Anolis sagrei: one gene and its partner. The protein of the gene in region 2 interacts with the protein of the main gene of each other region in a pairwise test. Links are inferred from orthologs where the notes say so. Each region holds a gene or a part of one and is shown on either strand. Other genes may lie near its edges. The genes, in order: HEMK1 and CHN1.

Region 1 (11,480 bases), on a different chromosome or scaffold from region 2:
CAACCTGTTCCTGCTGCTGGACTGAGAAGTAAGGAGAAATGTTGCCAGCATTTAAGCTCTGAAACTGAAAAGGAAGTCAATTGCAAGTGTTTAAATTTACTGTTAGCTCACCAAATCAAGTGTGTAAATGTCAGAATACTGATATGAAGCCAATGGCAGAGTTAGAAAAATTAAATGGGGACTACAGCATCGAATGGCCACGCTGCTGAGGACCTGGAAAAGGGAGGGGGCGGCTTTCATATGCATTGATTCTAAAATAAAAGTCTTGCTTGGTTAGAGGCAGCCAATCACAGTTCAGGATGAGGCCAGAGTCCATCTAGCATCCTATCTTGTTTCCCAAGTTAGGAGACTAAATCTTGGGAAACAATGTTAGATCTTGGGAAACAAAATTAGATATAAAATAGCCCAGTTAAAAAACACTGTTTCCTTTTCCCCCAAAAAGCCTTATTTTCTATAAAAATAAATAAAAATGGATCTTGTTTCTTCCTTCTAAAATGATAAACAGTTTAAGGCAAGGTTTATGTATTTATTATATGAAAACTAGGCAAAAACATTTATATAAGCCTATATGCAGTATCACACCATTGCATTTTCTGGACTTTTCTTTTCTTTTTTTCTGTTCCTTTTATGGGAATAAGTGCTTTATGTCTGCTTTGATATTGCAGAGGACTATAGGAGACAAAACAGTTCTTTGATACTCTTCTGTTTTTTGTTTTGTTTTGCAGGTTTATCACACACTGACAAACTCAATTCAGTTCCTTATAATTCAGGATTTGCTTACAATTCAAGATTTTTATTCAAAGGTACTGTGTTGGACAAACAGCAAAATGAAACAAAATCAAAAATCCACAAAAGAAGTTAACATGACAAAAAAGCCAGAAGAGCTTCAAAAGCTTGCATAAAGTGGTTTGTGCATTAGGTTTGGTCAAAAATTGTATCATGCTTTTGTGAAATTTGGAATTTGTAACTCTGTTGTAACAAAAAAAAATTAAATTAAATTAGTCTGAATAAATGATTTTTAAGTAAATAAAACATGGTAAGTTTAATACCAGACAAAGTTATATTTCACATTCCTAAAACAACAAAGTGACTTTCAATCTTCCAAGCATGTTAATATTGCTTTTTTCCAGTTTTTTTCATACAGTTTCAAAATTTCTGAAAACTTCATTATCTCTGGACATTGTGCCTCTAAACACACAGGGTACCAAGAGCTATTACAGTTGTTAATAGACCCAGTTCCCATAAATCTATCTTTAATTCACTTTTCAAGAAGGCTTGTATTTAACAACTTGTCTGGAATGCGAAGGGATCTTTTAACACCTTTGAGACTAAATGAGAGGAAGAAATTTGTAGGATAAGTTTTTGTAGACTAGGTCTATTTCCTCAGATGCCACTGATGAAGTAGATCCAGTGTTTGAAATCTTAACGTTACAAACATCTTTCTCTCAGTTAGTCTCAAAGTACCTCAATATTCCTTGGGATACTGACCTAGATTAACATGGCTATTCCCTTGAAGCTGCATGGTAGTCGTAATAGTGAAGAAATTCCATGCAGGAGAATGAGACAGTTGGAAGAGGAATTTTTTGCACTTGCTAGAGGTATAAACAGGATGAACTGTACTGAGATGCTATTGCAACATGCAAGTGCATCCTCAATATACCTTGACAAAAGCAGAGGAGTTCACACTTTAAATCTATAACAGAAAAGGAAACCATGTGGTTATTCTGATGTTACTAGACTGTAACTCCTGTCATTGCTGACTATGCTGGCTAGGGCTGATGGAGTTTCACTGTAATAAAATCTGGAAGGTTAAACATTTCTCATATCTGGTCTACAAGAAGTACTCTTTATCTCACAGACTAGGTCTAGAATTAACTGGAACATCATACATGTGACAGGCCTCCAGATATTCATTCCAATGCTTTGCGCAGACTTAAAATACTTCATAACACTTAACTGTTTTTGCTCCCAGAACATGAGAAACAATATATTCAGAAGAAGCCCGTGCTTCAGGGATCTCATTGGCCTCAAACACATCTTGCCAGTAGCTGACCAGTTCAGCAGCTGTCACCAAGCCAGCCTTAGAATGTGAACACTGCCTTAGCAGTCTGTGGCAAGGATGCAGGACACAGTTCCTGGCCAAAATCACTCCAAGATGGCCACAGTAAGGGGACAAATACAGAAGTTTCCTGTACAAAGAACTGGTGAAAACAGTCATGGCTCCAGAAGGTAACAACTTCCAAAAACAGAAAGAAATATCTCCTTTTAAAAGCCCTCTAAAGTATAATGGGCATCTCCAATAGTATCTGGTGTATTGACAAGTATTAATTTTAATAGATCAGCCCCATCTCTTCGTTCTTCATGAACCAGCATGTCAACAGGCGGTTTCACGTGCCCTTCTCCTGGTAGCCATCCTCTAGAAACCTAAAGAAAAAGAGACAGCCAAAGGGAAACCTCTCAGATTTAAAACAGGTAAACAGCCCATTTAAATAATTTAAACATAGATCATTAAATACAGCCTGTGAATCTATGTTACAGTTCTAGAAAAGAGGAACACTTAATGCACTTTGTTTTCCACAACTGTGGCTTCAATCATGTTTGCAAAAAAAATTAAGCACCACTGAAAATGCCCACACTTGCCTTATTAAGCAACACTGGCTAAAGGGCACTTTATATGTTACAGAATTTTAGCACAAATGAAAGGCTAATGTTCTTTAATGTGAAATTGTTTCCTTGAACATCACTAATATGCAAACTGTTTGCACTGGGCTATGTCACAACTACTTGTGTCTTCTCAGCAGTCATATAGATGGTGTGCATCTCTTGTACTCATGACCTGTTATCTACAGCAATTACATACAGTATATATGAGAAAAGCAAGTCCTAGTTAGTGCTGTAGTGCTTGCAATATCTTTAAACACAACCATGCTTTTGAGTAAGATTCTTCTTTTATCAGTTTTAAACTGCTTAGAAAACACTGGAGTTTTTTAAACAGATGTTTGGTATGGGGTTATGTACTACCAAGTTTCAAAAGACTTCTAACAGATTGGTGATTTAATGCTGGAAAAAATGCATGAGAATAAAAACAGAAAAAGCAATAGATACTTCAGTTGATTTTATTTATTTATGTATATTCTGCCTTTCTCAGGAACATGAACATAATGCCTGCTCAAGCACTGTATTCAAGACAGTTTTCCCTTCTGGAAGAACACACGGTTAGTTTTTTTAAATCCCATTCTCAGGAAAGACAAAGACAAGATAAACAAAACTATTTGGAACCAAGGAAAGTGGTGTGATGCTACTCTTATTCCGTGACACATGCTCGCATTTTTGTTGTCCTAAAATACAACAGGTAGGGGCCCCATCCACACAGCTAAATATAATCCCACATTTTCTGGACTCGGATAAGCCAATTCAAAGCAGATATTCTGGGTTATACGGCTGTGTGGAAAGGCCTGGAGGCCCCTTCTACACTGTCATATAATCCAGATTATTGAAGAAAAATAATCAATATCATCTGCTTTGAACTGGGTTATATAAGTCTACACTGCAATAATCCAGTTCAAAGCAGATAAACTGGATTTTGTAGAAGGGGCCCCTTCCACACAGCTAAATATAATCCTACATTTTCTGGAATATATGGCAGTGTGGACTCAGAAAACCCAGTTCAAGGCAGATATTGTGGGATTTTCTGCCTTGATATTCTTGGTTATATGGTTGTGTTTAAGGACCCTTAGGATGCATCTGTGCAGTTTGTTGCCCCTTTAATTGCTATAGCTCAATGCAATGGAATTATGAGAATTGTAATTTTTCAAGGTTTTTGGCCTTCTGTCAGAGAGGGTTTATGCCAAATAAGTAATGCCTCGCTAAACTACAAATCCTAGGATTCTATAGCAGTTAAAGTGATATCAAAGGGCCCTTCCACACAGTCCTATATCCCAAAATATCAAGGCAGAAAATCCCACAGTGTGGACTCAAATAACCCAGTTCAAAGCAGATATTGTGGGATTTTCTGCCTTGATATTCTGGGATATAGGACTGTATGAAAGGGCCCAAAAAGGAATAATGTTATACTGGCGATACACCCTTAGTTAGCTGTATTTTGGTTGGAATCGTGGCTTTTCCCCACTTGTATTTCAACAAGACACGAAACGATTCTAGCCCATATTCCAGTCCTCCGTGTGTTTTGGACTGCACCTCCCAGAAGCCTCAGCTGCCTCTCGACCAATGATGAGGGATTCTGGGAGCTGATGCCCAGAGAGATGGAACCACTGACTTATAATAATGAAACCCAGCCTTCCAGGCTTCTGAAAGCATTGTCCCCTCAACAGAACCGAGCAGGACAGGAGGAACGGAAATGTTATCGGGGTGCCGAGCTGCTAACTGTGATCCTGAGGCACATGAGGCCAATGCCGTTCGGTTCCTACCGACCTCTCAAACGCGTTGGGAAGAAAACACGCCTCACTTCCGGCTTGTGCAGCGCTATTCCTGCGGCACCGGAAATGACGTTGTGGTAATATAGTTCCTAGAGGGCTAAAGTCCCACCTCGTCAAAGGGACGGGTCCCTTTGAAGAGAGGAAAGCGAGAGAGCGAGTAGAGGGCGGCCCCTCGTGGCTGTTCCGGTGCATTGCAGCACATGCTATATGGGTTGTTGTAGGGTTTTTAGGTTGTATGGCATCAGGCTGGAAAAAAAACAACTTATATCCCCATACCAAAAAAGAGAAATGCTAAAGACTGCTCCAACTTCCGTACAGTGGCCCTTATTTCTCATGCCAGTAAGGTAATGCTCAAGATCCTGCAAGGAAGACTCCAGCAATACATGGAGCGAGAGTTGCCAGATGTTCAAGCTGGGTTTAGAAAAGGTAGAGGAACGAGAGACCAAATTGCCAATATCCGCTGGATAATAGAGAAAAGCAGGGAGTTTCAGAAAAACATCTACTTCTGTTTTATTGACTATTCCAAAGCCTTTGACTGTGTGGATCATAATAAATTGTGGCAAGTTCTTGGTGGGATGGGCATCCCAAGCCACCTTGTCTCTCTCCTGAGGAATCTGTACAAGGACCAAGTAGCAACAGTAAGAACTGACCACGGAACAACAGACTAGTTCAAGATTGGGAAAGGCATACGGCAAGGCTGCATCCTCTCACCCAACCTATTCAACTTGTATGCAGAACACATCATGCGATGTCCGGGGCTTGATGAATGCAAGGCTGGGGTGAAAATTGCTGGAAGAAACATTGACAACCTTAGATATGCAGATGACACCACTTTGATGGCCGAAAGCAAGGAGGAGCTGAGAAGACTTCTAATCAAGGTTTAAGAAGTGCAAAAGCTGGGTTGCAGGTAAACATTTAAAAAATCATGGCAACCAGACAGATTGATACTGTTTTTATTGTTGTATTGTATTTTATTGTTGCATTGATGCTGGCATCGAATTGTGCCTTTGTAAGCCGCTCTGAGTCCCCCCCCCCCCCCCCCGGGGTGAGAAGGGTGGGGTAGAAGTGTCTGAAATAAATGAAATAAATAAATTGATAACTGGCAAATAGAGGGAGAAAACGTGGAGGCAGTGGCAGACTTTGTATTTCTAGGTGCAAAGATGACTGCAGACGCAGACTGCAGCCAGGAAATCATGAGGCGCTTACTTCTTGGGAGGAGAGCAATGACTAATCTCGATAAAATAGTGAAGAGTAGAGACATCACACTGGCAAGGAGATCTGCATAGTTAAAGCAATGGTATTCCCCATGGTCACATACGGCTCAGAGCTGGACCATAGGAAAGGCTGAGCGAAGGAAGAGAGATGCTTTTGAACTGTGTTGGAGGAACGTTCTGAGAGTGCGTTGGACCGCGAGAAGATCCAGCCAGTCCATACTTCAGGAAATAAAGCCTGACTGCTCACTGGAGGGAAGGATATTAGAGGCAAAGATGAAGTACTTTGGCCACATCATGAGAAGAAAGGAAAGCTTAGAGAAGACAATAATGCTGGGGAAAATAGAAGGAAAAAGGAAGAGGGACTGACCAAAGGCAAGATGGATGGATGGCACCTTTGAAGTGACTGTTTTGACCTTGAAGGAGCTGGGGGTGGTGATGGCCGACAGGGAGCTCTGGCATGGGCTGATTCATGAGGTCACGAAGAGTTGGAAGTGACTGAACAAATGAACAACAAGCTTTTCGGGGCTGTATCGCATGTTCTAGAAGCATTCTCTCTTGATGTTTCGCCTGCATCTGTGGCAGGCATCCTCAGAGGTTGTGAGGGAAGCCTTCAACAATATGAAATCAAACCCAAGGCTAGCTACAGTAGAGTCCATACAGTTAATACCAAACTGCAACTGCCATGATGGAGACTACAGACAATGCTGTTGCCTGTTATTGGTCAAAAGATATTTAGCCACCTGCATGCCTTCTATTTTTATCAGTTTTATACTAATTTATGCAATGATTTGATACAAAATAAATAAAACTGCCATGATTCTGTAGCATTGAGGCTCAGCAGCTAAAGTGGTGTCAAACTGCATCAGTTCTACAGTGTGGCTGTACCCTAAAAACCGATGAAGTCATCCAACTTGAACATTCATACCACACATTTGCTGTTGCAGATTTGGAAACATGTAGACCAAAGTACAATCTAAGGACTCAAAAAGTATATTGAACCTATGGATAGAGAATCTGTAGATAGTACCATAATTTGTTTATATAGTAGTTGGTGCTCTTTAGTTTTTACCCCATTTGGGGTAAAACGAAACGAAAACTCCCATAACTTTTGATTATTTGCTATGCAGTCTGAGGAGAATGGGAATTGCAGCCCAAATAGCTCTGAGGTTGGGGAAAGCTTGATGGACATTTTTAAAGTCAGACATTATATCCATAAGCCTTGTGTCTAAATTCAAACACCACTCTCCTGCCTAAACAGAACAAACTGCAATTCTCCAGATGTTACTGTATCACAACTCACATCTGCTCTAGTCATGAGGTTTAATAATGAGGAATACTATGTGGTAGAGGCTCTTGTGTGGTGGAAACTCCTTCTTTGGAGGCTTTTTAACAGAGGCCATCTGTCAGGGGTGCTTTGAAAGAGATTTTCGTGCTTCTTTCCCAAAAGGGGATGGACTGGATGGCCCACGAGGTCTCTTCCAACTCTATGATTCTATGATTAATACAGTAGCTGTATTTGGTCTATAGGCCTTGGGTTCTGTTTGACACATCTGCCTTATCTGAAAATCTGAAATAACCCCCAAATCTGCATGGGTGACTGAGATAGTAACACCACAAAATTGTTTAAAATATTATGTGCAAAATTATCTTCAGGTTATGCATATGAAGCAGGCATGGGTAAACTTTGGCACTCTGGCTGTTTTGGAGTTCAGCTAACAGCTGGTAGACTGTTAGGAATTGTGGTAGTTGGAGTCCAAAATACCTGGAGGGCCAAAGTTTTCCCATGCCTGGTATAAAGTGTACAGTATTTCTTGGGGTTAACAGTGGAAACAACATTTTTTATTTTTAAAATGCTATTTTTCAACCTAAGGAAGCATCTCTCTAAGAACCTTTTGGCCTTTCACCAGAATTTGTCCAGTGTCATGCTTTTTGTTCATGTAAGGAGCGACTTGAGAAATTGCAAGTCACTTCTGGTGTGAGAGAATTGGCTGTCTGCAAGGACGTTGCCCAGAGGACACCTAGATGTTTTGATAATTTATCTTCCATGTGGGAGGCTTCTCTCATGTCCCTGCATGGAGAGCTGGAGCTGACAGAGGGAGCTCATCCGCACTCACACTGGATTTGAACCTCCAACCCTTACCCTAACCCAAAGCTTGCCCTAACTGTAACCTCTAACCCTTACCCTAACCCAAACGCAAAACCTTACCCTAACCCGAAACCATAACCTCCAACCCTAACCTTACCCTAACCCTAACTGTAACCTCTAACCCTTACCCTTACCCTAACCGTAACCTCTCACCCTTATGCAAACCCAAACCCTAAACCTTACCCTAACCCTAACCTCTAACCCTTATCCTAACCGTAACCTCTCACCCTTACGCAAACCCAAACCCTAAACCTTACCCTAACCCTAAACTGTAACCTCCAACCCTTACCTAGGGAGAGTGTGGATGAGCTCCCTCTGTCAGTTCCAGCTCTCCATGTGGGGACATGACAGAAACCTCCCACAATGATGGTAAAACAGCAAAACATCCAGGTGTCTCCTAGGTAACGTCCTTGCAGACGTCCTTGCCAATTCTCTAAGAACAGAAGCGACTTGCAGTTTTTCAAGTTGCTCCTGACACGGAAAAAAACCCCCAAGGCCTTTCCCCTTCTCTGCCAAAGAGTACTGGTGGCTCCCCAAATCACAACTTCCAGGATTCCCTAGCACTGAGCCAGGGTGAAGCGTCAAAAGACGCCTCCCGGCCATTCATAGGGTTTCCTCCTGACGGCAAATCCCGCGCAAATCCTAACCTCGAAGGGCGCTCATTGGTCGGCTCTACGGCGGCGAACTGCTCTCCCCGTGAGTGACGTGGACGTAGGCCCAATCGCGAATCTTAGCGCCGCCCCCCGTGGGCCAATCCCAAGCGAAGGGGAGCCCAAAGCCGAACCTCCAGAAGGGCGGCGAGGGGAGGGGACCGGGATCCTCCTCCTCCTCCTCCTCCTCTTGCTGGAGCATCCATCCTCTTCTTCCCGGGGAGACACAATGGCCAGCCAGAGCCGGGCGGCGGCAGCATCAGCACCCACTTCTGAGGCTCCTCCGGCGCAGGTAACCTCCATAGCCGGGAGCCCTGCCTGCCTGCCTGCCTGCGAGGAAGCCAGTCCTATCTGCCGCTGAGTTTCCCACGGAGGCGGCGGAGGAGGAAGGGGGGGGGGAGCGGTCCTCTTGCAGGCTTCGCCCCTTCTCCACCGGGAGGAGCGGGATCAAAAGCAGGCTGGCCTCCAGGGCAAGAGGGAGGAAGTGGATGAGGGACATAGAGGCAGGGAGAGAGAGAAGGCCTGGCAAAAGGGGAGGCCCTGCGTCTACACCGGAGAATGGATGCAGTTTGACTCCGCTTTACTCCTTGCCACGGAATCCTGGGAGTTGGGAGTTTTTGCAAAGTGGTCCGCCTCCCCTGCCAAAGAGGCCCGCGCGCAGGATCCCCCTGGCATTGGAATTAAACTGCATTCGTTCCGCAGTGTAGACGCAGGGCCTCCCTCATCACCAGGTGTCAAACTGTATGGGTTCTGCAGTGGAGAACCTGTCCTAGGAGCTGTGCAAGGGGGAGGGACTCTCTTCCTCCTCCCCCTCCTCCCTGCCTGGGTGCTGATGTCATGGTTTTGGCTCACAGGACTGAGCATCCTCACGAACACGTGCACACGCAAGAGAGAAGGGTGATAGGAGAGAGCCAGGGAGGAGGTCACCAACCTGGAGGGGTAGTTCAAACACTATACTCTCCTTCCATGCTAGGAGGGAAAGTTGACCTGAAAAACAGGCATGGGCCAACTTCGGCCAGGCAGGTGTTTTGGACTTCAACTCCCACAATTCCTAACAGCCTACTCGGTGTCCTGGGGGTGGGTACATAGGTAGTTGTGGAGCCCTATTCTTGACCTGCATCTTCTCCCACAGTGAGGGCATTGGTTTCCAGGTGGAAGGTGGTCTCAGTCGGGGTTTGCTTGATGTGCCTTCCTCTTGGCACGTTTCTCTCTTTCGCCCTCCATTCATGCCTCTTCAAATTGTACAGCACTGCTGGTCACAGCTGACCTCCAGCTGGAGCGCTCAAGGCCAGGGCTTCCCAGTTCTCAATGTCTATGCCACAGTTTTTTAGGTTGGCTTTGAGGCTATCTTTAAATCTCTTTTCCTGCCCACCAACATTCCGTTTTCCGTTCTTGAGTTTGGAGTAGAGCAACTGCTTTGGGAGACGGTGGTCGGGCATTCGGACAACGTGGCCAGTCCAGCGGAGTTGATGGCGAAGGACTATCACTTCAGTGCTGGTGGTCTTTGCTTCTTCCAACACGCTGACATTTGTCCGCTTGTCTTCCCAAGAGATTTGCAGGATTTTTCAGAGGCAATGCTGATGGAATTGTTCCAGGAATTGCATGTGACATCTGTAGATAGTCCACGTTTCACAGGCGTATAGCAGAGTTGGGCGGACAACAGCTTTATAAACAAGCACTTTGGTATCCCTACGGATGTCACACCACACAATTATAATACGAACTTGAGTATCCCTCATCCAAAATTCTTGAGGCCAGAGGTGTTTTTAATGCTGTTGACCTTTCCTCAGTATTTAGAATGCCTGTATTTGCATATATTTACATAATGAGACAACTTGGAGATAGGACCCGTGTTTAGACGTCATTTTCAGGCATGTTTCCAATTCGTCTTCTACACATAGACTAAAGTTAGTCTTTTTGAATAATATTGTGAATGAAACAAAGTTTGTGAACATTGAACCCTCAGCCATCAAAAGTGTTACCATCCCAGCCTCCCATGTGAACCATTTCCAATTTGAGAATTCTGGATACTCAGCTTATACTATGATTCCTCTTTAGCAGCCCTGGCTGCATCCTATGGAATCCTGGAAGAAAACTCTAAATGCCCCTCTGAAATTATCAATCCCAGGATTCAGTAGCATGTTGCCTAGGTGATTATAGTGGAATCATAGTACTATAACCGTGTAGTGTGAAAAAGCCCCAGAAAAAAAGAATTTAGCTTACTTTCTTTTTTATATATATATATATATGTATAAAATCGTAGAGTTGGAAGAGACCTCTTGTGCCACCCAGTCCAAACCCCTGCCAAGAAGCAGGAAAATCACATTCAAAGCACCTCCAACAGATGGCCATCCAGGATCTGTTTGAAAGCCTCCAAAGAGGGAGGAGGGAGCAAGCTTGTATTCTTTTGCCCTGGAGACTAGGATGTGGAAAAATGTCTTCAAATTACAGGAAAGGAGATTCCACCTGAACATTAGGAAGAACTTCCTGACTGTGAGAACTGTTCAGCAGTGGAACTCTCTGCCCCGGAGTGTGGTGGAGGCTCCTTCTTTGGAGGCTTTTAAACAGAGGCTGGATGGCCATCTGTCGGAGGTGCTTTGAATGCAATATTCCTGCTTCTTGGCAAGGGGTTGGACTGGATGGCCCATGAGGTCTCTTCCAACTCTATGATTCTATGAAAGAAGGAGCCTCCACCACACTCCAGGGCAGAGAGTTCCACTGCTAAACATCTCTCACCTTTAGGAAGTTCTTCCTAAGTTCAGGTAAAATCACCTTTCCTTTAGTTTGGAGCCATTGTTTTGCATCCTAGTTTCCAGGGCAGCAGAAAACAAGCCTTCTCCCTCCTCTCTATGACTTCCTCTCACATATTTATGCATGGCCATCATGTCTCCTCTCAGTCTGGTTTTGAGGAAGATCCCTGCTCCAAATACTAGTATATGTATCACAAGTCTCACTTGATATACTTCATGCATGGTTTTGGAGAGGCTGTGACTACTTTAGCTGCCCTGGCTGCATCCTAGGGAAGGGAAGGGAT
Region 2 (11,209 bases):
CATGGTGCACCGTTACTTTATAAACAGTTATGAAGTTAAAACAATTATGAGTTAAAACAATTATGAAGAGAAAAGCCTGAGGGAGGATTGTTGTTCTTAATAAACTCTGCATTACCACATGTGTCTGACAAACCTCAGCAAAATTACAAATAAGAGCAAACAGCATCACTACAACATTATGCAGAAACACATTATGCATAAATTACAATTATGCAAAATTATTCAGTAGAAAGCACTCCCTCAAGTTAAGAAACAGGAATGAGTTATTAATGTAATGAAATTTTCTTCCACAAATAATATTTTAATATCAAGATTATTTTTGCTTCACTTTACTGTCACCAAGTGCTTTTTAATTGCCAAGTTAGAAATGTGTGCAATTAAGCTTAATAATTATTTTAATTTATTAATACGCTCTCATATAACATTCTGTTTTAATAGTTTATTTACCAGAGTGTTTGCCTGCTGCTGGAAACATAAATGCATCAAATATAAAATACCTTGTTTTTATTTTTTTAAACCCTCATTTCTTTAATGTGCAATGTTTCTCTTTAAAAACTTGCAAAGACAGTTTACTAAATGAAGATCAGATAGCTACATCTTTACTCATCTCGCTTTTGCTGCCAATATGATCTTTTCTTTGGGAGGGAAAATACATAATGTTGGGAACTCTAACCTGCTTCCTAGGCCCACAAAAAAATCAGTTTCTCCCAGTTCTGGAGCAACTTCTTCCAACCAGGATATACAAGAAGCTAGACAACTACAAAGGAGTAAGACAGATGGTATTCCCAGGGTGCCTTTGAGGAAACACACCTCATGGTTGCAAGTGCCAGCCATATCGATTTCTCTCTCTCTCTTGTGAACAGAGGTGAAAGAACAGATCGTATAAAGTCTGGTGCTAAATATGCCAGAAGCAAATCAACTTTAAAAAAAAAAAAAAACCCAAAACACTCTCAAAACTGTCTTCAGGAGCATGCACACACCCATTCTGCCTGGAGCAGAAACAATAGGAGAGATACAGAGGGAGTAGCAGCCTTCTCTTGCTTGCCAGTCTAACTGCTGCTGTTGTTATAACTAACTTCAAGTTGACCTCTACCAATGGTGACCCTATGAATAAGGTTCCAAATCCTCAACATCCCTGCTCAGGTCTTGCAGACCTGCGATTTCCTCAATTGAATCTATACACCTGTAATGCTTCCTTCCTCTTTTTCTCCTGCCTTCTACCTTACCAAGCAGTATTATCCTATCTAGTGAACCACCCCTTCTTATGACATGTCCAAAGTACGACAGTCTCAGATGAGCCATTTTGTCTTGTAGGAAGGGGTTTGGCTTGATTTGCTCAAGGACCCATTTATTGGTCATTTTTAACCCTCTTGGCTTCTAGAGGGAGTTCAGCTCTGAGTCTAGGGCCAGCTGAAAAAAAATCCACATTTTCTGCTTTGAATTGGAAGATATGGCAGTGTGGGCTCAGATAATAACCCAGTTCAAAGTGGATATTGTGGGATTTTACGCCTTAACATTCTGGGTTATATGGTTGTGTGGAAGTGCCCTAAGACCCATTTGCTGGTCATGCATTTGGCTTGAAGGGACATTCTTCCTTGATTTACTCTGGGATCCATTTATTGGTCATTTATGTGTTCCTGTTGGCTTCTAGGGATAGTTCAGGATTGAGTCTAAGGTTGGATCTACACTGCCCTATATCCCAGGATCTGATCGCAGGTTGTCCACTGATTCCAGATGATCTGGCAGTGTAAACTCATATAATCCAGTTCAAAGCATATAGTCTGGGATCATATACTGTGACATAGGCAGTGTAGATCCAGCCTAAGACCCATGTATTGGTCATTTATTTACTCATCTTGGCTTGTAGGGAGAGTTCAGCCTTGGGTACTTCCAGACAGGCCCTATATCCCAGCATCTGATCCCAGGTTTTCTGTTTATCCCAAGGCCCTTCTACATAGCCATATAACTCAGAAAATCAAGGGAGAAAATCAGACAATCTTTGCTTTGAACTGGAGGCCCTTCCACACAGCCCTATATCCCAGAATATCAAGGGAGAAAATCCCACATTATCTGAGTGTGGACTCAGATAACCCAGTTCAAAGCAGATATTGTGGGATTTTCTGCCTTGATATAGGGCTGTGTGGAAGGGCCTAGGGTTTTTTTTTTTTATCATGTCAGGAGCGACTTGAGAAACTGCAAGTCGCATCTGGAATGAGAGAATTGGCCGGCTGCAAGGACATTGCCCAGGGGACACCCGGATGATTTGATGTTTTTATCATCCTTGTGGGAGGCTTCTCTCATGTCCAGCTGATAGAGCTGGAGCTGATAGAGGGAGCTCATCCGCCTCTCCCCGGATTTGAACCTGCGACCTGTTGGTCTTCAGTCCTGCCAGCACAGGAGCCAGGGCCTAGGGTGATCTGTGTGTACACTGCCACATATTCCAGTTCAAAGCAGAAAATGTGGGATTTTATTCAGCTGTGTGGAAGGAGCCCTAGATTATCTGGCAGTGGGGGCTCATATAAAAAATCCAGTTTAATGCAGAAAAATAGAGTTGAGACATTGGGATATTGGGCCTGTCTGGAGGGTTCTCTTGATTCCCAGGGCCCTTCCACACACCCCTATATCTCAGAATCTCTGCTCTTCTCTTAGGCCATCCCTTGTTGTCAGAGTAGGATAGTCTTCCAAGATCAGTGTACTGGTGGGTCTGTAGGTGACTGTGGTGCCCTATTTTTGATATGCATCAAGGCAGGAAATCCCACAATATCAAGGCAGAAAATCCCACAAAATCTGCTTTGAACTGGGTTATCTCAGAGCCCTTCTACACAGCCATATAACTCAGAATATAAAAGCAAGAAACCTCACAATATCTGCTTTGAACTGGGTGATCTGAGTCTACACCGCCATATTCCAGTTGAAAGCAGAGAATGTGGGATTTTATTCTTCAGCTGTGTGGAAGGGGCCTGGGTTATCTGTGCCCAGGCCCCTTCCACACAGCTGAATAAAATCTGCTTTCAACTGGAATATAAGGCAGTGTGGACTTAAGGACCTTCCACACAGCCCTATGCCTTAGAATATCAAGGCAGGAAATCCCACAATATCTGCTTTGAAGTGGGTTATCTTAGTCCACACTCAAGTAATGTGGGATTTCCTGCCTTGATATTCTGGGATATAGGACTATGTAGAAGGGCTCCTTGATTCTAGGACCCATTTGTGAGTCATTTATGGAGTCATCTGGGCACCCTTCCACACAGCTGAATAAAATCCCACATTCTCTGCTTTCAACTGAAATATAGGCAGAAGCGGCCCTAGGTAATTTTCAATGGTAAGCAAACAGTATTCCCCCCCCCCCCCCCAATCACTGATATATATTTTGTGTTTGTCATGGGAGTTCTGTGTGCCATATTTGGTTCAATTCCATCATTGGTGGAGTTCAGAATGCTCTTTGATTGTAGGTGAACTATATATCCCAGTAACTACAACTTGCATATGTCAAGATCTATTTTCCCCCAAGAGCGCCTCAAGAGCGCCCCTGGGCAAAATCAACTATACTGCAAAGGCTTACTTTGAGTAATGGTTGAGCTGCCCCTGAATATAGGGCTGTGTGGACTCAGATCACCCACTTCAAAGCAGATCTTGTGGGATTTTCTGCCTTGATATTCTGGAATATAGGGCTGTGTGGAAGGGCTCTGAGATAAAATCCCACATTCTCTGCTTTCAACTGGAATATAAGGCAGTGTGTGGACTTAAGGCCCTTCCACACAGCCCTGTATCCCAGAATATTAAAGCAGAAAATCCCACATTATCTATGTCCACACTCTGATACTGTGGGATTTCCTGCCTTGATATTCTGGGATACAGGGCTGTGTGGAAGGGCCCCTTGATTCTAGGACCCATTTCTAAGCCATGTATGGAGTCATCTGGGCTTGTAGGGAGAGTTCAGTCTGGACGCGCTTATTGGCTTGTATGGGCGGCTCAGCCTCGAGTCTTGGCTACCCTGTGGAGGGAAAGGAAGGAGGACGCAGCCCGCGCCTTCCATGGCGAGCCCACCCCGTCCCCAGACCCAGGCGCGCCCTCTCCCCCTTTTGCCCCCGAGCCGAGCGCTGTGACTCACCGAAGAGGGTCAGGGCCATGGCGAAGGCGCGGCGAGGCGGAGGGCACGGGCTCCGCGCCTCCCTAGACGCGCAGCCGAGGAAGCCAACCAGGCGCACAAAGAGCGGCGGCTGCAATAAAAGTTCTCTCGCCTGAAGAGGCGCCGGGTGGGGATGGTGAGGGGCTGGGCTCCGTTTGGGGCTTTGTGGGCGGGCCCAGGGGAGGCTGGGCGGTGGCTCTGGCCGAGGAAACTTCAGACAGCTGTTGCCCGCCGGAGGGACGCCTCGCTCTCCCGGCGCTTCTTCCCGCCGCCTCGGCTCAGCAGCCGCCTTTCAGGCTCTGGTAGCCATCTTGGCTCGCCACATGACCGGCTCCCCCTCCCCTCCTCGAGCCCAGCGCCAGTTCCCATGGCAACGGGGGCTCGCGGGCCACCAGCCTCCTCCATCCCTGGCCCGCCCTCTCTCCTTCCCTCCTGTCAACCTCGCAGAAGCAAAGCTAGAAGGGATGCTGCATTGGTTTCTCTTTCTGAAGAGGAGAGGGAGCAACAGGGTCTCTCTCTCTCTCTCTCTCTCTCTCTCTCTCTCTCTGCCCAACTTCACTCTTTTCCACATCTCCTCCAAAGCACTTCGCAGTGACCAACACTCTCATGTCTCACTTTGGGAGGACGGATCTGCATACACTGTAGAACAGGCTTGGGCAAACTTTAAGCTTAAGCGGCTGAGGGGGAAAAGGAAGGGGCCTGAGGCTGTTAGGAATTGTAGGAGTTGAAGTCTAAAACACCTGGAGGGCCAAAGTTTGCCCAAACCTTTTGTAGAATGAATGCAGTTTTATAGTATAGTAGAGCAGTGGTTCTCAACCTGTGGGTCCCCGAAATACAACACCGCCTGAGCTCTGCGAGTGCAGCATTTTCCCGAATGAAGCAGAGAGTGTTTGAGGACCAGGACATCCGTAGGGATACTAAGGTGCTTGTCTATAAAGCTATTGTCCTCCCAACCCTGCTCTATGCCTGCGAAACGTGGACTGTCTACAGACATCACATGCAACTTCTGGAACTATTCCATCAGTGCTGCCTCCAGAAAATCCCGGAAATCTCTTGGGAAGACAAGCGGACAAACGTCAGCGTGCTGGAAGAAGCAAAGACCACCAACATTGAAGCGATGGTCCTCCAACATCAACTCCACTGGGCCGGCCACGTTGTCTGGATGCCCGACCACCATCTCCCAAAGCAGTTGCTCTACTCTGAACTTAAGAACGGAAAACAGAATGTTGGTGGACAGGAAAAGAGATTAAAGATGGCCTCAACGCCAACCTTAAAAACTCTGACATAGACACTGAGAACTGGGAAGCCCTGGCCCTTGAGCGCTCCAGCTGGAGGTCAGCTGTGACCAGCAGTGCTGCAGAATTCGAGGAGGCACGAGTGGAGGGTGAAAGAGAGAAATGTGCCAGGAGGAAGGCGGGTCAAGCCAACCCCAACCGGGACCGCCTTCCACCTGGAAACCAATGCCTTCACTGTGGGAGAAGATGCAGGTTAAGAATAGGGCTCCACAGCCACCTACAAATCCACAAAAATAGTCATCAAGGAAGACCATCTTACTCATCCAACGAGGGATCGCCTAAGTAAGTAAGTAAGTGGGTCCCCAGATGTGTTGACTTTCAACTCCCAGAAATCTTAACAGGTGGTAATGTCACGTTGCAAGGGCTCTGCCTCTATTCAGGCAGAGGTGAATCAAACAAACAGCCAGTTTGAAACAATTTAATTAAAACAGCACTTACTTTCTGGCTGTTTTAATAGTCCAAAACATAAAGATAGCACTCGGCCACAGAATATAAAAAACTGACAGCAAACACTGTTACAGGTTCAAGATAACTCCGTAGTCAAAAGGTCCAGTCCAGTGGTCAAATGACAAGAGTTCAGTGAGCAAAGTCCAGGGATCAAGAGTTTATACCAGGGTCCTCAAACTAAGGCCCGAGGGCTGAATATGGCCCCCCAAGGTCATTTACCTGGTCCTTCGTCAGGGTCAACCTGTCTAAAACAAATTGAAAACACACAATAACTACAACAATCCTATCTCATCAGCCCAAAGCAGGTCCGCACTTCCCATTGAAATACTAATAAGCTTATATTTGTTCCAATTATTCTTCATTTTAATTATTGTATTGTTTTAAAGTGTTTTTTTGCACTACAAATAAGATATGTGCAATGTGCATAGGAATTCGTTCATGTTTTTTTTTTCCAAATTATAATCCGGCCCTCCAACAATTTGAGAGATTGTGACCTGGCCCTCTGTTTAAAAAGTTTGAGGACCCCTGGTCCATACCACAGTCAAAAGCCAGTCCAGAGATTCAAGGTTCCAGGGTTCAAGAGACAGTTCAGGATACCAAAAATCCACAAACCTGGGGGAAAACCAGCAGCATCTACCACCAAAATAAAACAAATACTTTTGTCCCAAAGATCAGTCCCAAGGCTAGCTCATTTTATCCAGAAACACCCAGCTGCAGTCTATCCCTTGCATACCTCCACCCTTAATTGCCTTCACCCATGTACTCTTACTTACAGATTACTCAACCCTTTAGAACTAAGACTTACATTAACCCTTCCATCACGAACTGCTAGGCCTACCACCATCAACTGCAGAACATGATACATGGCAGGTAAACTGGTTGGGATTTCTATGAGTTGTAGGGCAAAACACCTGGAGACCCACAAGTTGAGAACCACTGCAGTAGAGTCTAGATAAACGAAAATGTTGGATAATAAGGAGGGATAAAGGAAAAGCCTATTAAACATCAAATTACGTTATGATTTTACAAATTAAGCACCAAAATATCATGTTTTACAACAAATCGACAGAAAAAAGCAGTTCAATACATGTTATGTAGTAATTGCAGTATTTAAAAATTTAGCACCAAAACATCACAATGTATTGAAACAGCTATGGATCTGGGTGGAAGGCAGACTGCATTGGATAATACAGAACGTTGGGTGAGTGAAGGTTGGATAAGCGAAGCTCTACTGTAATATAAAATAACAGCTCTTTGTCCTTTAACATATCTACAGTATTTCTTACTCATCAATTAAGATCACATGGTTACCTTGTGACCTTGTTATTTTCTCTAAGCATGGCCAGACTTAAAGAGATAGTTCCTTGTCTGGCTTTTTCTGAGCTCTGGGAAAACATTAACCAGAGGGATAAAACTGACCAGGCAAGTTCTGGCTAAACAGAGACCTGAAGTGTATCTACATTGCAGAATTAATGTAATTTGAGATCACTTTAATTGCCATAGCTCAATTCTACGGAATTATGAGAACTGTCATTTTACAAAGTTTTATCTATTTATTTACTGCATTTATACCCCACCCTCTCTCACCCCAAAAGGAGCAGCTTACAAGTTATATGTACATACAATATATATTTTTAGCATAGCACAATATTAGCATTATTTATTACTATATTGTACCATGCCACCATACTGTAATATTATCAGTAATATTGCATGTAATATGTAATTAATATTATGTTATATTATTAGTATTATGTTGTATTACATATTATTATCAATATTATATGTATATACAATATATTGTATTATTAGCATAACACAATAATAGCATTATACATTACTTTATTGTATTATACAACTATACTGTAATATTATTAGTAATATTACATGTAATATATAATATATAATTTATATTAGTATATTATTAATAGTAGTATATTGTATTATTATTAGTAGTACTATATTGTATTATATTACAATATGCAATACAAATGGGAGATTGCTGGAGGGACCTTTCTTTAATTGTACAGCCATCTCTATTCCCAAGAGTTTATTTATTTATCGTGTCAGAAGTGAACCAAAACAGTTGTATTGCATTAAAAACAAACAAACCACAAAGTTTGCAGACTTGGCAAGAGTTTGCAGACTATTAAATGTCCTTTGGAGTGCTTCTGGTGTTGCTGCAAGAAGGTCCTCCACTGTGCATGTGGCAGGGCTCAGGTTGTATTGCAGCAGGTGGTCTGTGGTTTGCTCTTCTTCACTCTCGCATGTCGTGGATTCCACTTTGTAGCCCCATTTCTTAAGGTTGGCTCTGCATCTCGTGGTGCCAGAGCGCAGTCTGTTCAGCTTCTTCCAAGTTGCCCAGTTTTCTGTGTGCCCAGGACGGAGTCTCTCATTTGGCATTTTATACAAATGGGGCATTGGAGAAGCAGCTGCCTTCAGGATATATTTGATCCAAGTTAACACATTTATACATTGATACAATACACAATCAATACAAGTTACATAGGAAATATCAATTTTATACATTAAAGAGTATAGCTTTGATATAGTTTGGAATACAGTTGCTGCTGGGTCCTTCTGGAGCCTCCAGTAGCTTTGACATTGCAAAACTTTGAGAGAAAAATGCTTAAAAATCATAAAAAATCATATTTCTTGCTTGAAGTCTTCTTGTTGCTCATAAACCTTTAGGGAGGGAAGTGCTGTGGCTTGACAACTTCTAGATAGTGGCAGAAGATAGCTCAAAAACCAGCACTAGTACATGGACACCATTTAAAATAGCATTATGAAACACACTTCGGAATTGCATCACTTGAACTTAGGCACATCTTCCTTTATAATATGCCAACTTAACTGGGAATGGGAGGACAATATTGTTGCTACTAGGGGTTTACAACAGGCTTTTTCTAAGTAACGGAGGATAAGAAGCTTTTCTGTTACAGCTGCCACGGGTTGACTGGGTGTGTTATCAGTTCCACTAAGACTTGCAAGCTTTGAGCTTTGCATTTTGTCTTAGCTTGATGGCTCGTTTTGAGCTGAAAAAACCTTTGGCTGTTGCTGGGAGTGGTTATGCATCGTCCTGAAGCTGAAGATCGAAGCAGTTTGGAATGCCAGAGAAACTGCTTGTTTATGGCAAGACAAGGACATTCAACTGATAACTAAGTAGAGAGACTGTATTATTTTGCTATATGTTTGCATATCATCATGTAAAGAAGACTCATCGGAGATATTGTTAGTTGTATATTGGTGAGAACAATTCTGTTTTGCTTTGTGTTTTTGCTCTACAGTGAATAGAACTATATTTTTGTTTCTACTTAAAGCAACAGACTCGTGTATTTTTTGAGTTTTTATCACATTGAGAGTAAAAGTGGCTGAGACATTCTGTGGGCTGCTAACGCTACTCTGACAAATATGAGCAGGCCACTTTTCATGAATGGGGAAAGATACACAAGAACAAAAATGCTAATTCGGAGTCCCCTCCTATAAGAGTTATTTCTACATCCATGGAAAGCATCAATAGAAACTGGTTGATCTTGTTGCTGCACATTCCAGCAAATGGAACTAGTCCTAAACAGTGTTACACCATATCTTTCTCAATAATCTCCACAGATAAGGAAGAAGAAAAATAATAACACTATGTAACAAAATTTGAAAATGTTTCTGTTCCTGCTTTGAAAGTGTTATTCCTTTTAATTTTGTGGTACTTATTTTGAAAGTACTTGTCATACTCCAAAAACTTCATTTTTGTGATTGCTACAAACTATGTTGAATTGGTTAAATCTCGACTAAGTATTCCCTTAAAAACTATAGCAAAATGTGCTGCAAAATGTTTAATAAACCTTTTTCATGTTTTAATGATAGAACCAATTAGGAAATGACATTTATAACCCAGGAACAAAAAGTGTTATATAGTGCTGAGGTGGGGAATTATTCAGGATATTTAAAGGGCTATTGCCCTAATTTAAGTTTTCCTCTTGAGCTGTTCCCAGGTGTCCACTAAATCATAATAAGCATTCAGCATACATTGAAAGCTGTGTGATAAAATCATTCAAAAAGAGATTTCATAATGGCTGAAACATGTGCACATGTGGGAGTGACAGGAATTTTTCAGAGGTTTCTGCAGTTTCCTCACATCATAGAATGTCACTAGACTGGCCTAGCTAGGATTTTACTATCCTTACTCTGTTAGTGTTTCATGATCAACATGTGTTATAAATTGGCAAGGGCACACAGTGTTTTTAAGCAAAAAGAACTTGACCGAACCTAGGAAGGAAATGTTGAACCAGGGACAACTGAGTCTATTCTTCCAACAGCTATGAAGCCAGTAGAAGGGCAGAAGAAATTGCTTCTTCTACTTCCGGTCCCTGTAAGAATCAAAATGGTGTTAGTATACAAGTGGCATTTCAGTGACAGATATAGGGACACACCTTCAACAATCAGATATTCATTGATCATTGACTAAGGTAACACTTATCTTTCTCCCCCTCCACTAACAACAGAGATCACTTACATCTCTACTCCACTTTCTGAGTGCTGTATTAAATTACTAGGCAATTACCTGTCTTCAATCCATTCAAAAGCAAGGAGAGCAAGGGGTAACATCATCACCACCATCATCTGTGAATAGTAGTTCAGAATACTGCAGCATGTGAAACTGCAAGTTGTAACTAGCTACAAACTTAAAGTATTCATAATAAATATAAGCATTTATATATTACCTCTTATATGGTTTGAGGTATAACATGGTTAAAGCAGACAGACAAATACAACACTATTAAAATGCATAAATCAAAATACACACAACAAAGACCAATACTAATAAAATACAGGTTAAAATTCACTGTTTAAAATTGACTGGAAGAGATGGGTCTTCAGTTCTGTCTTGAATGCTGACAGCCCATTTAGCTTTTCAGATCTCTTCTGGGATGTCATTTCACAGTCTTGAGACAACTGATGAAAAAGTCTGCTGATGGTTCTTTCTGGCTGGAATGGTTGCCCCCCAGAGGCCCTAAGTGTCCTAAGGTGTAGATTGTATGGGAGACGGCAATCTTGCAGGTAACTTGGACCCAAACTATGGAGGGCTTAAAAGGTTATAGCCAACACTTTGTACTTTGTCTGAAAACTAATTGGCAACCAGAGTGTAATATACCCATTCCTAGATATTCCTGTAAGTATTCTGGCTGCCATGTTTTGAACTACTGGTAATTGGGGTTTTTGAACTTGGTAAAGAGATAGCCCAATGTAAAGCATGGGCTATCTCTTGAGGTTACCAGCATGTGTACCACCATCTTTACGTCCTCCAGATCTAGAAAGGCTGGATGGCCATCTGTCAGGGGTG

Evidence for each region.
Region 1: the proteins of CHN1 (region 2) and HEMK1 interact in binary tests that used the Homo sapiens proteins (3 or more experiments, as listed by UniProt). The two-hybrid records come from large-scale screens. The link is inferred for Anolis sagrei from reciprocal best matches to the Homo sapiens genes CHN1 and HEMK1.

Annotation. Positions count from the first base shown.
Region 1 is NC_090022.1:71,665,413-71,676,892, forward strand, and holds the start of HEMK1 (MTRF1L release factor glutamine methyltransferase), read right to left. Parts: upstream 4,514-11,480; 5' UTR 4,432-4,513; intron 2,425-4,431; 5' UTR 2,219-2,424; coding exon 1,958-2,218; intron 65-1,957; coding exon 1-64. UniProt on the Homo sapiens protein: N5-glutamine methyltransferase responsible for the methylation of the glutamine residue in the universally conserved GGQ motif of the mitochondrial translation release factors MTRF1, MTRF1L, MRPL58/ICT1 and MTRFR.
Region 2 is NC_090021.1:191,922,430-191,933,638, reverse strand, and holds the start of CHN1 (N-chimaerin), read right to left. Parts: upstream 4,463-11,209; 5' UTR 4,131-4,462; coding exon 4,112-4,130; intron 1-4,111. UniProt on the Homo sapiens protein: GTPase-activating protein for p21-rac and a phorbol ester receptor. Involved in the assembly of neuronal locomotor circuits as a direct effector of EPHA4 in axon guidance.